Linked DNA regions of Saccharomyces cerevisiae S288C. The protein of the gene in region 1 binds, or shares a complex with, the protein of each later gene. Each region holds a gene or a part of one and is shown on either strand. Other genes may lie near its edges. A codon is read from its position in the direction of its gene.

Evidence for each region.
Region 2: the proteins of BCH1 (region 1) and ARF1 are in contact, whole or in part, in a crystal structure (PDB 4Q66), measured with the Saccharomyces cerevisiae proteins. Residues at the interface, in NP_013964.1 of Saccharomyces cerevisiae: Thr688, Lys689, Asn692, Glu693, Ala695, Ser696; in NP_010089.1 of Saccharomyces cerevisiae: Asp72 (codon at 996), Arg73 (codon at 993), Ile74 (codon at 990), Ser76 (codon at 984), Leu77 (codon at 981), Arg79 (codon at 975), His80 (codon at 972).
Region 3: BCH1 (region 1) and BCH2 share a complex: the UniProt entries of both Saccharomyces cerevisiae proteins name them as parts of the CHS5/6 complex.

Annotation. Positions count from the first base shown.
Region 1 is NC_001145.3:741,589-745,351, reverse strand, and holds the start of BCH1 (exomer complex subunit), read right to left. Parts: upstream 1,604-3,763; coding exon 1-1,603. Other genes in the region: TAF9 (chromatin modification protein), read right to left, coding at 1,908-2,381; GTPase-activating protein RNA1, read left to right, coding at 2,617-3,763. UniProt on the Saccharomyces cerevisiae protein: Member of the CHS5-ARF1P-binding proteins (CHAPS) which mediates export of specific cargo proteins, including chitin synthase CHS3.
Region 2 is NC_001136.10:114,820-117,529, reverse strand, and holds ARF1 (Arf family GTPase ARF1), read right to left. Parts: upstream 1,210-2,710; coding exon 664-1,209; downstream 1-663. Other genes in the region: NUS1 (ditrans,polycis-polyprenyl diphosphate synthase), read right to left, coding at 1,731-2,710. UniProt on the Saccharomyces cerevisiae protein: GTP-binding protein involved in Golgi vesicle trafficking. May modulate vesicle budding and uncoating within the Golgi apparatus. May recruit the lipid transfer protein VPS13 to Golgi membranes.
Region 3 is NC_001143.9:489,715-493,477, forward strand, and holds the start of BCH2 (Bch2p), read left to right. Parts: upstream 1-1,649; coding exon 1,650-3,763. UniProt on the Saccharomyces cerevisiae protein: Member of the CHS5-ARF1P-binding proteins (CHAPS) which mediates export of specific cargo proteins, including chitin synthase CHS3.

The DNA.
Region 1 (3,763 bases):
GCCTCTTTGATCTCATTTTGGATATATCATTACCGCGAACTTCTGCTTCATCAATGGAAGAAGTGGAGCCTTGGTACTCGTCTTCCATAACGAAAATTTTTGATCTATATTTCAACAGCTGCTCCCATCCTGTTATTTGGACAATTTCTGTCAATAATTTATAGGCTAGTTGGAAAGTAGACTTTAAACTTGACGCAGAGAGATTGACTAGGTTTGGATCTGCGGACTTTTGCTCCAACTGGACATCCATGGGGTTCAATGACGAAATCTCCTCAATTGAGGCATCCAATGGTAATGGCAGATGAAGATTTTCATCTGAAGTAATAGGCGCAATTCTTCTAAGAACGTATTTTTCCTTAACCTGTGACATGGGGCAGGCGTTTAACGATAGCAAGGCATTTGACATATCGTTTAGTTTAATGTATATTCTAGTCAATAAATACCAAGTTTTAAATTCGTTTGGTGCACAGTTAACAGCCTCCATGGCTACTTCCTTAGCAAGCTTGTAATCTCTCTTGACATCCAGTAAGAATTCACTTTGAATACTTAATAATTCGGATTTGAAGATTAGCTGGATATGGCTAGTCTTTGAATCGTCGGCTAAGAACGAAGAGGGGGAATTTAGTTGCTCGTTGATCAGGTCAACTGCATCTATCTCTAAATCGCACGCAAAATAAACACGAATTAATATTATTACTGCTTCTGGATGAATTTCTATTAACTTCTTGAGCATTTTACGACATGCTTCCAAACTCTTAGTTAACCTAACTATTTCCACTAAAGTTTCCACTAAATAATTATTGGTTAACGAGGGATTTAAAACGTGAGTAGGTGCATCTAAATAAACACCTTTTTCATAGACCAAGGGGAACAGTTTAATAAAGTTATTGGCAACATCTTCCAACTCACCCGAGGTAAATGGATTGAAAATTAGTGTTTCTACCAAATTCTGGGATTCTCCATCCGCACGATTATCTTTCATAATCATAATGTCACGTACAATACCACTCATAAACGTTTCCGCCCAAATCATGTTGACGTTTAAATCCTGTGAGTTGCGGCCAGATGACGCTTCTGCCACGGAGGGAAGTTGCGATTGTTCACCGTCGCTATTTATAATGTAGGTTTGCACAGTTCCTGGAATGTGAACTATAATGTTAACATCATATTTCCTAAACGCATTCCAAGAACTGATAGAAATCTTCGATACGTGAAAGTGCTTCTTCTTACCAAACCAAATTTGGGGCGTGTCTAAGAAAAGATCGGTTATCTTTTTGGCAAAGATTGTAATAGAAGTTGGATCCGAAGTATCGATACCCATACAGTAAAAGAAAGTGCCGATCTGCCCCTTTAATTTGTCATGGGAATGTAACTCCGTAACTATGGTCGTAGGATCTTGTCCATTGATGTTTGAAGTTGCTCCGTTATCGTTGGCGGAGGCAGTAGCAGTTGTTGTGCTCGAGGATGAAGGTAACGATTTGATCAAAGTAATTAAATCAGGCGGACCCAAGTCTTGGAATTGTCCCACTCTGGCTCTCCTCTGGTGTAGCGCATAGCCTATCACGTCTTCTTTCACTTCCGGTATGGAGGTTTGAGACAACATGGTTAGGACTTCAAGTTTTCAGTTTATCCTTTTCACGTTCTAAAAATCAATACAGCGCGGAAAGTGCTCTCAAGAAGATGAATTGAGATGTTTAAGGGTCCATTTGTTACTACATTATCGTGTAGATCTCATTTCTCTAACTTTCCATGTAGGAAAGGGCAGGCAGGAAAAAGAACATTAGAGAACATGATCACGATACACGACTAGCGCATTATTTAGTGTATATTACTCTATTATGCATTCTACATGACGCATCTTCCGGAAGAACTTGATTTAGTGTACTTATGATATATAAGCGGTGCATTCACATAGACTTTGGGTCCTCAAGGTCCCACTCCTTCGCTGTGAGACAATATTTTTCTGGGGGAAGCCTGACACCCCACGTACCCATCACTTGAGGTAATGCCTTCTTGTTTCTTTCCGCAGCTAACTGTAACATGAGCTCCTTAGGTGCCGTAGGCTTAAATTGGTATTGTGTTCTCGCTGCAATGGCAAGCCGTATGTCTTCTACTCCTAATCCACTGCCGGCAGAATTTCCACTGCCAGCGTAGTCGTTGTAAACCAACGCGTCCTTAAGGACTCCTTGTGTGTACCTATGTGCAAAATCCATCAATTGTAGCGGTACTTGGTCCTCATATTGATGAATCGACTGTGATGCGAGGAGCAGATGCAAAAGACGGACATCTCGTGGCGTTTCCTCTTGTGTTGAGTCCGGACCAACTTCTGATACTGAGCCCACTGAGTTTTTATTCAAAACATTCTTGCCTCCGCCGTTCATAATGGTCTGTGAAGTCCTCTAGTCTTTTCTTGTTGTCGTGTTGTTTCATAATGTCAAATTCTACTTTTGATTTAAAGCTCTTAGTTTGGTCATGGAATGCATGTCACTATGCACGTTGTGGGACAATTAATGGAAAAAAATTTATTAGGAAGATATTGATCAAAGGCATAATATCACGGTAAAAGGTGAATATAGGCCATTTTAACAGGCTGTCTTTCGAAACAGATTTTTAGCTATGGCTACCTTGCACTTCGTTCCTCAGCACGAGGAAGAACAAGTTTACTCCATCTCTGGGAAGGCACTCAAGTTAACAACCAGTGACGATATCAAACCATACCTGGAAGAATTGGCAGCTTTGAAAACCTGTACCAAATTAGACCTTTCAGGGAATACAATCGGTACTGAAGCTTCGGAAGCATTAGCTAAATGCATCGCTGAAAATACACAGGTCAGGGAATCTTTGGTTGAAGTAAATTTTGCTGACTTATACACTTCGAGGTTGGTTGACGAAGTCGTTGATTCGTTGAAGTTTTTATTGCCTGTTCTGTTGAAATGTCCTCACTTGGAGATTGTGAACCTTTCTGATAATGCGTTTGGGCTAAGAACAATCGAGTTACTAGAAGATTACATTGCACATGCCGTGAATATCAAACATTTGATCTTAAGTAACAATGGTATGGGCCCTTTTGCTGGTGAAAGGATTGGTAAGGCCCTATTTCATCTCGCTCAAAATAAGAAAGCTGCTTCCAAACCATTTTTGGAAACTTTTATCTGTGGTAGAAATAGATTAGAGAATGGATCCGCAGTCTACTTAGCTCTGGGTTTGAAAAGCCACTCCGAAGGTTTGAAAGTCGTAAAGCTGTACCAAAATGGTATTAGGCCTAAAGGTGTCGCCACGCTAATTCATTACGGTTTACAGTACTTGAAAAACTTGGAAATCTTGGATCTTCAAGACAATACTTTCACGAAACATGCTTCTTTGATCCTTGCTAAGGCCTTGCCTACATGGAAGGATAGTTTATTTGAATTGAATTTGAACGACTGTCTTTTGAAAACTGCTGGTTCAGATGAAGTCTTTAAAGTATTCACCGAAGTTAAATTCCCCAATTTGCATGTCTTGAAATTCGAATATAATGAAATGGCTCAAGAAACCATTGAAGTATCCTTCTTACCGGCTATGGAAAAGGGAAATTTACCTGAATTGGAAAAGCTAGAAATAAATGGTAACAGATTAGATGAAGATTCTGATGCTTTAGATTTGCTCCAAAGCAAATTTGATGATTTAGAGGTTGACGATTTTGAAGAGGTCGATAGTGAAGATGAGGAAGGCGAGGACGAGGAAGACGAGGACGAGGATGAAAAACTCGAAGAAATTGAAACGG
Region 2 (2,710 bases), on another chromosome or scaffold:
AAACCCGCCCGTTAGTGCATGGAGTGCCAGGTAAGTTGTCGTGGGGTTCACCCGGAGAGGCTGCGCTGCCATTTTTTTTTGCGACTTTACAATTTAAGCTACCTATTATGTGATAAAAAATTAAATGTAAAAAGTTATGGGTGTAGATATGTATGGGTCTGAGATTAATACAGTCCCCAGATTGAGAAAGTTTTCGTGAAGATTATTTGTTGAGTAACAACAAATCAAAGATCCTCTTCAGTCTTGAACAGTCAATTGACACAGTACCACACTATCATTCTGAATTATCATAATATGATTTCGTGTGTTTTAGGTTTTAAAAGTATCTTTTGAGAACACGGTGGACCTGAGAGCGAAACGTCAATATATGATTCACGCAGGGGTGCTGTAAAACAAATGAAAATGCGTTGTATAATATCCTAAATATATCATGTTTCTTTGTTTCTATATCAAATTGCCATTATTAGTTAAAGTAGTTTATACTAGTTAGGCTTCTTCAGTATTTTTTTATTTTATTATCTTGGTTTTTATTGCTTTTACACTAAAATCTATATGTGTTGGCTGGTGATCGTCAATAAATCCATCGACGTTGGCCTCTTAAGTTCTTAATCTTTATGTTTCATTTAGTTTATACAAGCGTATTTGATCCATATTCTAGAATTTTTAAGTTGAGTTTTTCAAACTGTTACTTAACCATTCCAAACCTTCATACAAACCTTCACCGGAGGTAGCACACGTGGCTTGGATAAACCATGGACGGTTTCTAATAGAATGTAAACCTAGTTTTTCAGTGATTTCAGCAGCAGACATGGCTTCTGGCAAATCTTGCTTGTTAGCGAACACCAACCAAGCGGCGTTTCTCAATTCATCTTCGTTCAACATTCTTTGCATAACTTCTCTAGCTTCACCAATACGCGATCTATCGTTAGAATCGACAACAAAGATAACACCTTCAGTGTTTCTGTAGTAGTGTCTCCATAGAGATCTAATTCTGTCTTGTCCACCGACATCCCAGACAGTGAATGAAATGTTCTTATATTGGACAGTTTCAACGTTGAAACCAATTGTTGGAATGGTAGTGATAACTTCACCCAATTTCAACTTGTACAAAACGGTGGTCTTACCAGCACCATCAAGACCAACCATAAGAATACGCATTTCTTTGTTACCAAAAAGGTTACTGAACAACTTAGAGGCAAACAAACCCATTTTTAATTCTATTAAACCTGTTTGAGTTCTTTCTTATACCTTCAATGCCAGAGGTTCCAAAAAGTTTCAAAACAAAATGAACTTTCTATCTAGTAAGACTTATAAAAACCACCTCGATAAACAAGTGGATCGAGAACGTGTCAAAGATTCCGTTTCTCTCTCTGTTTTTCCATTTTTCGATTTTCATTTTTTTTTTTGGTTTGACAAATACAAGCCACCTCGTTATATGTGATTTGCAACGCGAAAAGAAATAAAAAGGGAAGGGTAATAACATGGTTTTTCTACAATAAACTGCTATCATTACGGTATTAGTGGCTTCTTGAGAGCTTATTGCGTGACTTTTTTTACTAAACTATTGAAAAATGCAACTAAGTAGCTAGCTTAAAACTATTGCTATCATTATCATTATTACTACTGTTATATATGTGGGCAATGACTTTCTTAAGTATCAGACGAGAATTCAACTGTGCAAAATTAAAAGGTTGAGCGAGATACTTATCTTTTCGTTTAGCTCTTAAGTATCATTTACCAACATTCACTTTACATCCTGCGTACTGTCTTAGGCCGCGGATGAAAACCGAATATATGACTTCGTTGTTATCTTTTTCCCAATAAAATTCGGTTAATCTAATATGCCAAGGTGGGAACCCTTGTAAATCCAACGAAGGCCCGAAGTATAACAGTAAATCTGGTTCGGGTCCAACTAGTTGTTTCAGTTCTGAATCAACTAAATCCATTGTGATGTCAGAAACGCTCAATTCGTTAACCGCACATAACTCAGCCATAGTTTTGGTCAGATCGACAATCGTTTCTCTACCATCTCTGTTAGACAATAAAGAAATTTCAATAGCAATTTTGTCCTTTTCTTGGTTAGCTTCTATCTCATTGCCTACATCAGTCTCGGTTTCAATTCCGTCTAGATTGTAGAATATCTTGTTAGAATGAGGTATTTTAACAGCGTAGTTTGGAACATGAGCTGGCCCAAAATATTTAGCCAGGTTGGAATGAATTTCCATTCTCAGCTCTGGAACATTTCTTTGTAATATTCCATCGTAATCGTACAACATCAAATGTTTTATACCAGCTGAAACAGTCCAGCAAACAATTTCACTCGCGTCATTTAATAAACCTGTCACACCGCCGCCAACGTCGCCAACTGGCTTGACTTCCAAGATAGCGGCCAACCTTTTAGGAATTTTTTTCAGAGGAATAACGTCCTGTCTAATCAACTGTGGTGTATATGCATGGTTGTAGATGATACTGAATATTCTTAGTTTCATTTTATTATATTGGTATTGACCGTACCGAAACAACCCGAAGCAGATGTATAACAACACAAGTAAAAACTTGTAAAAAAGGTATTCAAATTTACCTATTCTTTTACTCAAATCTTCTGTCTTTTGCTTTTGGACTCCATTCGTCTCATTGTTCACTTTCTTCTGAGGGTTCTCATCGGCGTCTGCAATGATACTTGTAACGGCCTTTAAAGCTCTGGTTTTTG
Region 3 (3,763 bases), on another chromosome or scaffold:
GAAGAAATCTATGATTAATGATGGCTTTGTCACTATTTGAGCAGTATGATTCTCATTTTACACCATAAACTTCACCAATTTTTTCATTTTTTTTTCATTTTTCTTCCGGATGAAATTTATCTATTGTAAAAAAAAAAAAACATTATGCTATGTAGAAAGCTTTAAATATGGCGACAATGTTGCTGTGTTGTATCAAATTCCCTGGATAGAGTCGTGCACTCTTAATGTGGCGAAAATGATGGCATTGCCTCCTTATTCTTTCTCATAAAAGGTATTACTAATCGTTATCTATTACCAACATAAGATATAGCTAGCAATTCTTGTAAGCACAATTACATATGTTTAGTTTTATTTTGAAAAGCAATACAAGCGCAAATTGTTTGGTCTGTTTTGGAGAGATCACCATGTAGCTGGCACTGCTGCAGATTGTCATGTAGTAAACATACTAGTAAAATATTCTTAAAATAATTTGATCAGATCAGTTTTGTTCTTCTATCTCCTATGTCATAACATACCGCTCATTTTTACTATCGTTATGTTTTTCATTCAGAAATTTTATTTTTCTTTAGGTCTTGAGTATCGACTTCCACAACATTGGATGACTGTACCTCACGATTTGTGTATTCTATTTATGCAGTATGTAATAACATATTAGTGTCACGACCGCTAGCCAATATACGATAGTGGATCTTTATTCCAAAAAATACTTATCTAACATGTTTAACAACAGATCAGATACTAAAACTTTTTGTCTGAATAAGAATTAACTACCATCTATGCACTAGCACACAAATTAGCAGTATGTTCTCATACACAGTGTAAGAAGATGACATTAAGAATGAGAAACGGTTATTAAATATAATAGAAGCTGAAATGCAAGCATTGATAACGTAACAAGATAAAGAATAAGCATATAAAGTAAAAAAACGAGACAATAACATTACTATTCATGAATACCGATTCCTTCTTCCGCATTTCTAATATCCTCGAAGAGAACTTTTAGTATATTGTGTATCATAGCCTTCAACAATAATGGAACACCAGTAATTATCATATTATTCAAACATTTCTCAATGATAGCTTTTATTCACAATGGAACCCAACAATTATTTCAAAATTCACACATTTCTTACTTCTTAGAGCAGGATTAGTTGGGTCTGGTAATTTGAACTACTATATTAGGTAAAAAATCATGCAATAAATAGTGCTGATACTTAGGGTTCTCAATTTTTAATGTCTCTTAATAATTCTTGTTCCTCGTGGCCCAATGGTCACGGCGTCTGGCTACGAACCAGAAGATTCCAGGTTCAAGTCCTGGCGGGGAAGAATTTTTTTACTTTTATAATTTTCTTATTATCTTTTCAGTTATTGAGTAAAAATATTATAATATTGGAAATGCTACGTTGCCAGTCCTGGTGCCGTACAATGCCGTATTATTTTAGCAATTCGTCATCAGGTTTCCGAGGCATTGTTACACCGTTTGGGAAAAATAAGATGTATGCACAATGGTGTATCTAAATTCAACATAAAAATAAAAAAAACAAAATGACAAACGGCAATAAAGAGACATTGTGTGCAAAGAAAGGGCATATATATCAAGTAGTATAAGTAGTAAAGTACAGTTAACAGATCAATTGGCCTCGAGGAATATGAGTTTTTTATGGGGGTCTACAAAGTCCAAGAAAGGCAAGAATAAAAAGGCTGCAGGTTCTCTTCCGTCAGGTGTTGTTCCACAGCAACGTGTGAAACCAACACGTAAAAACGTTCCTATAGATTATCCAAGAACTTTGGAAAAAGTACATGGTGAAAGTTTAATCTTTAGGACGTCCCTTTTAAGTGAATTGGTGAGCACTGGTAAATCTGGTATTGGTCCTCCAGACTTGATTCATTGTACAGAGTTAGATAAATTTCACGATGAGAAAATAGGTGAATTCTTTTACATCACGGGGATCGACGCCTCGAGCGTCTCTATGCCAATTGCATTTTTGAAGCTGATAAAATGGAATGATGGTAAGAAACTAAAATCAGCATCTTTGAAGAACGACGACATCACAACCTACTGCACTTTCAATATCTTTCAAAAATTGGACATTAGATTAAGATATGAATCTGAAGATGTTTATCAAGTTAATATCGTTGACTGTTTAAATGGCAACAATGAAATACCGTTGAGTGATCTTATTTGGGAAGAAACTTTCGTTAGCTGTTGCATAAGAAGCGTAATTATTAATTCAGATTTTGAAAGAAAAATACCTGGGCTAGTGGAATTACCATTTGTTTTTGAGAACAGATGCGCGAGTGATTATAAAAGGGTGATAGATTCGTTATGCAAATTTTTGCCAAGATTTTTAGAATGTGGTTGGGATTCTACAAAGAGCGTCTATGCAACGATACTGAATAACTACCTAACTGAATCATTATTAGTATTTCTGTCTATAACTCCAGAATTCATAACAGACTATGCGATCCAGGTTTTAGACAACTTGATGACGAATGACCCGTCAAATTCTAGATATTACGCTATTGTAATTATTTCTATCATGGAGCGAAGTAATGACCGCGATGTAGAAATGATCAAACGGATACACGAGATATTAGACCTATTACTACCCGTACTGTATGGATTGCCATCCGATGAACCTTACATTTCTGATTTGATCAATTGCATCACCGATGTATTAAGCATCCAAGCAAGGTTTCTATTGAACAATAACGACTATGAACTTTCTTTATCCATTTCCACATTGGCCACGAATTTATCTTCTGATAATTTTGAATCTTGGTATCTGTTATCTAAAGGCTATATTTTTTCACAACAGTATGATAAGGCACTGCTCTCAATCAATTCGATGCCCTGTTTAGCGGAATATGATATCGTTAAACAAGCCCAGATTAACGCTTTTAAGTTTTATATGAACTACTACAAGGCACCACTATGTCATAGCAGAGAACACTGTACCATGACATCACACGAGTTAAATCACCTCATGAATATTATGCATTATGAAAATGAGTTGGAGTTGAAGACAATAATATTTGGACGCACTGTAATGCCCAATGAATCTAAGTATGGATGTATTGAAGAGATATGGAATAAATCCTGTCTTGAATTAGGACCTATTTGTGGACCACAGAGTGACAATCTCATAAACTTTGTATCTCAGCAGGAGGTAAATACAGTAGGAGATATGCTGTTACTAAAACGAAGCAAAGAAACCAGACAAGAGAGTTGGTTTATAAAGCAAGTACGTCTTCTGTTGATGGAATTAGTCGCTAGAATCGGCTGGAACGCCTTACTTCAGCTAAGATCTGACGTTTTCGTTATGGAGAGTAAATTCAAAATGATAGAATCTTCGGACAAGCTGTCCACAGAATTACGCCAGAAGAGGCTCTGTCAGAGATGGTTTGATGCTATGTTTCTGGACGTTTACGAAGATTTAAGTATTAGCACTTCATCTCAAGAAAATAAGGCTACGGCGAAATACAGCGGGTTGGAATGGGAACTACTTGGCTTAACTCTGCTTCGAGTGAGTGACTTACCCGATGCAGTAGCGTGTCTACGAACTAGTATTTTGGCAAGGTTTGACCCTATTAGTTGTCACCATCTGTTGAACTTTTATTTAACCATGGATTTTAATGATGAGTTTATGAGAAGGTTTGACGTCGATATCATTTTAGATCTATTAGTGAAATTGATCTCCTTTCGGATACGATTCTATGATAGATTTCAGATATTTTCCCTTCAAGTACTAAGGAAACTAGA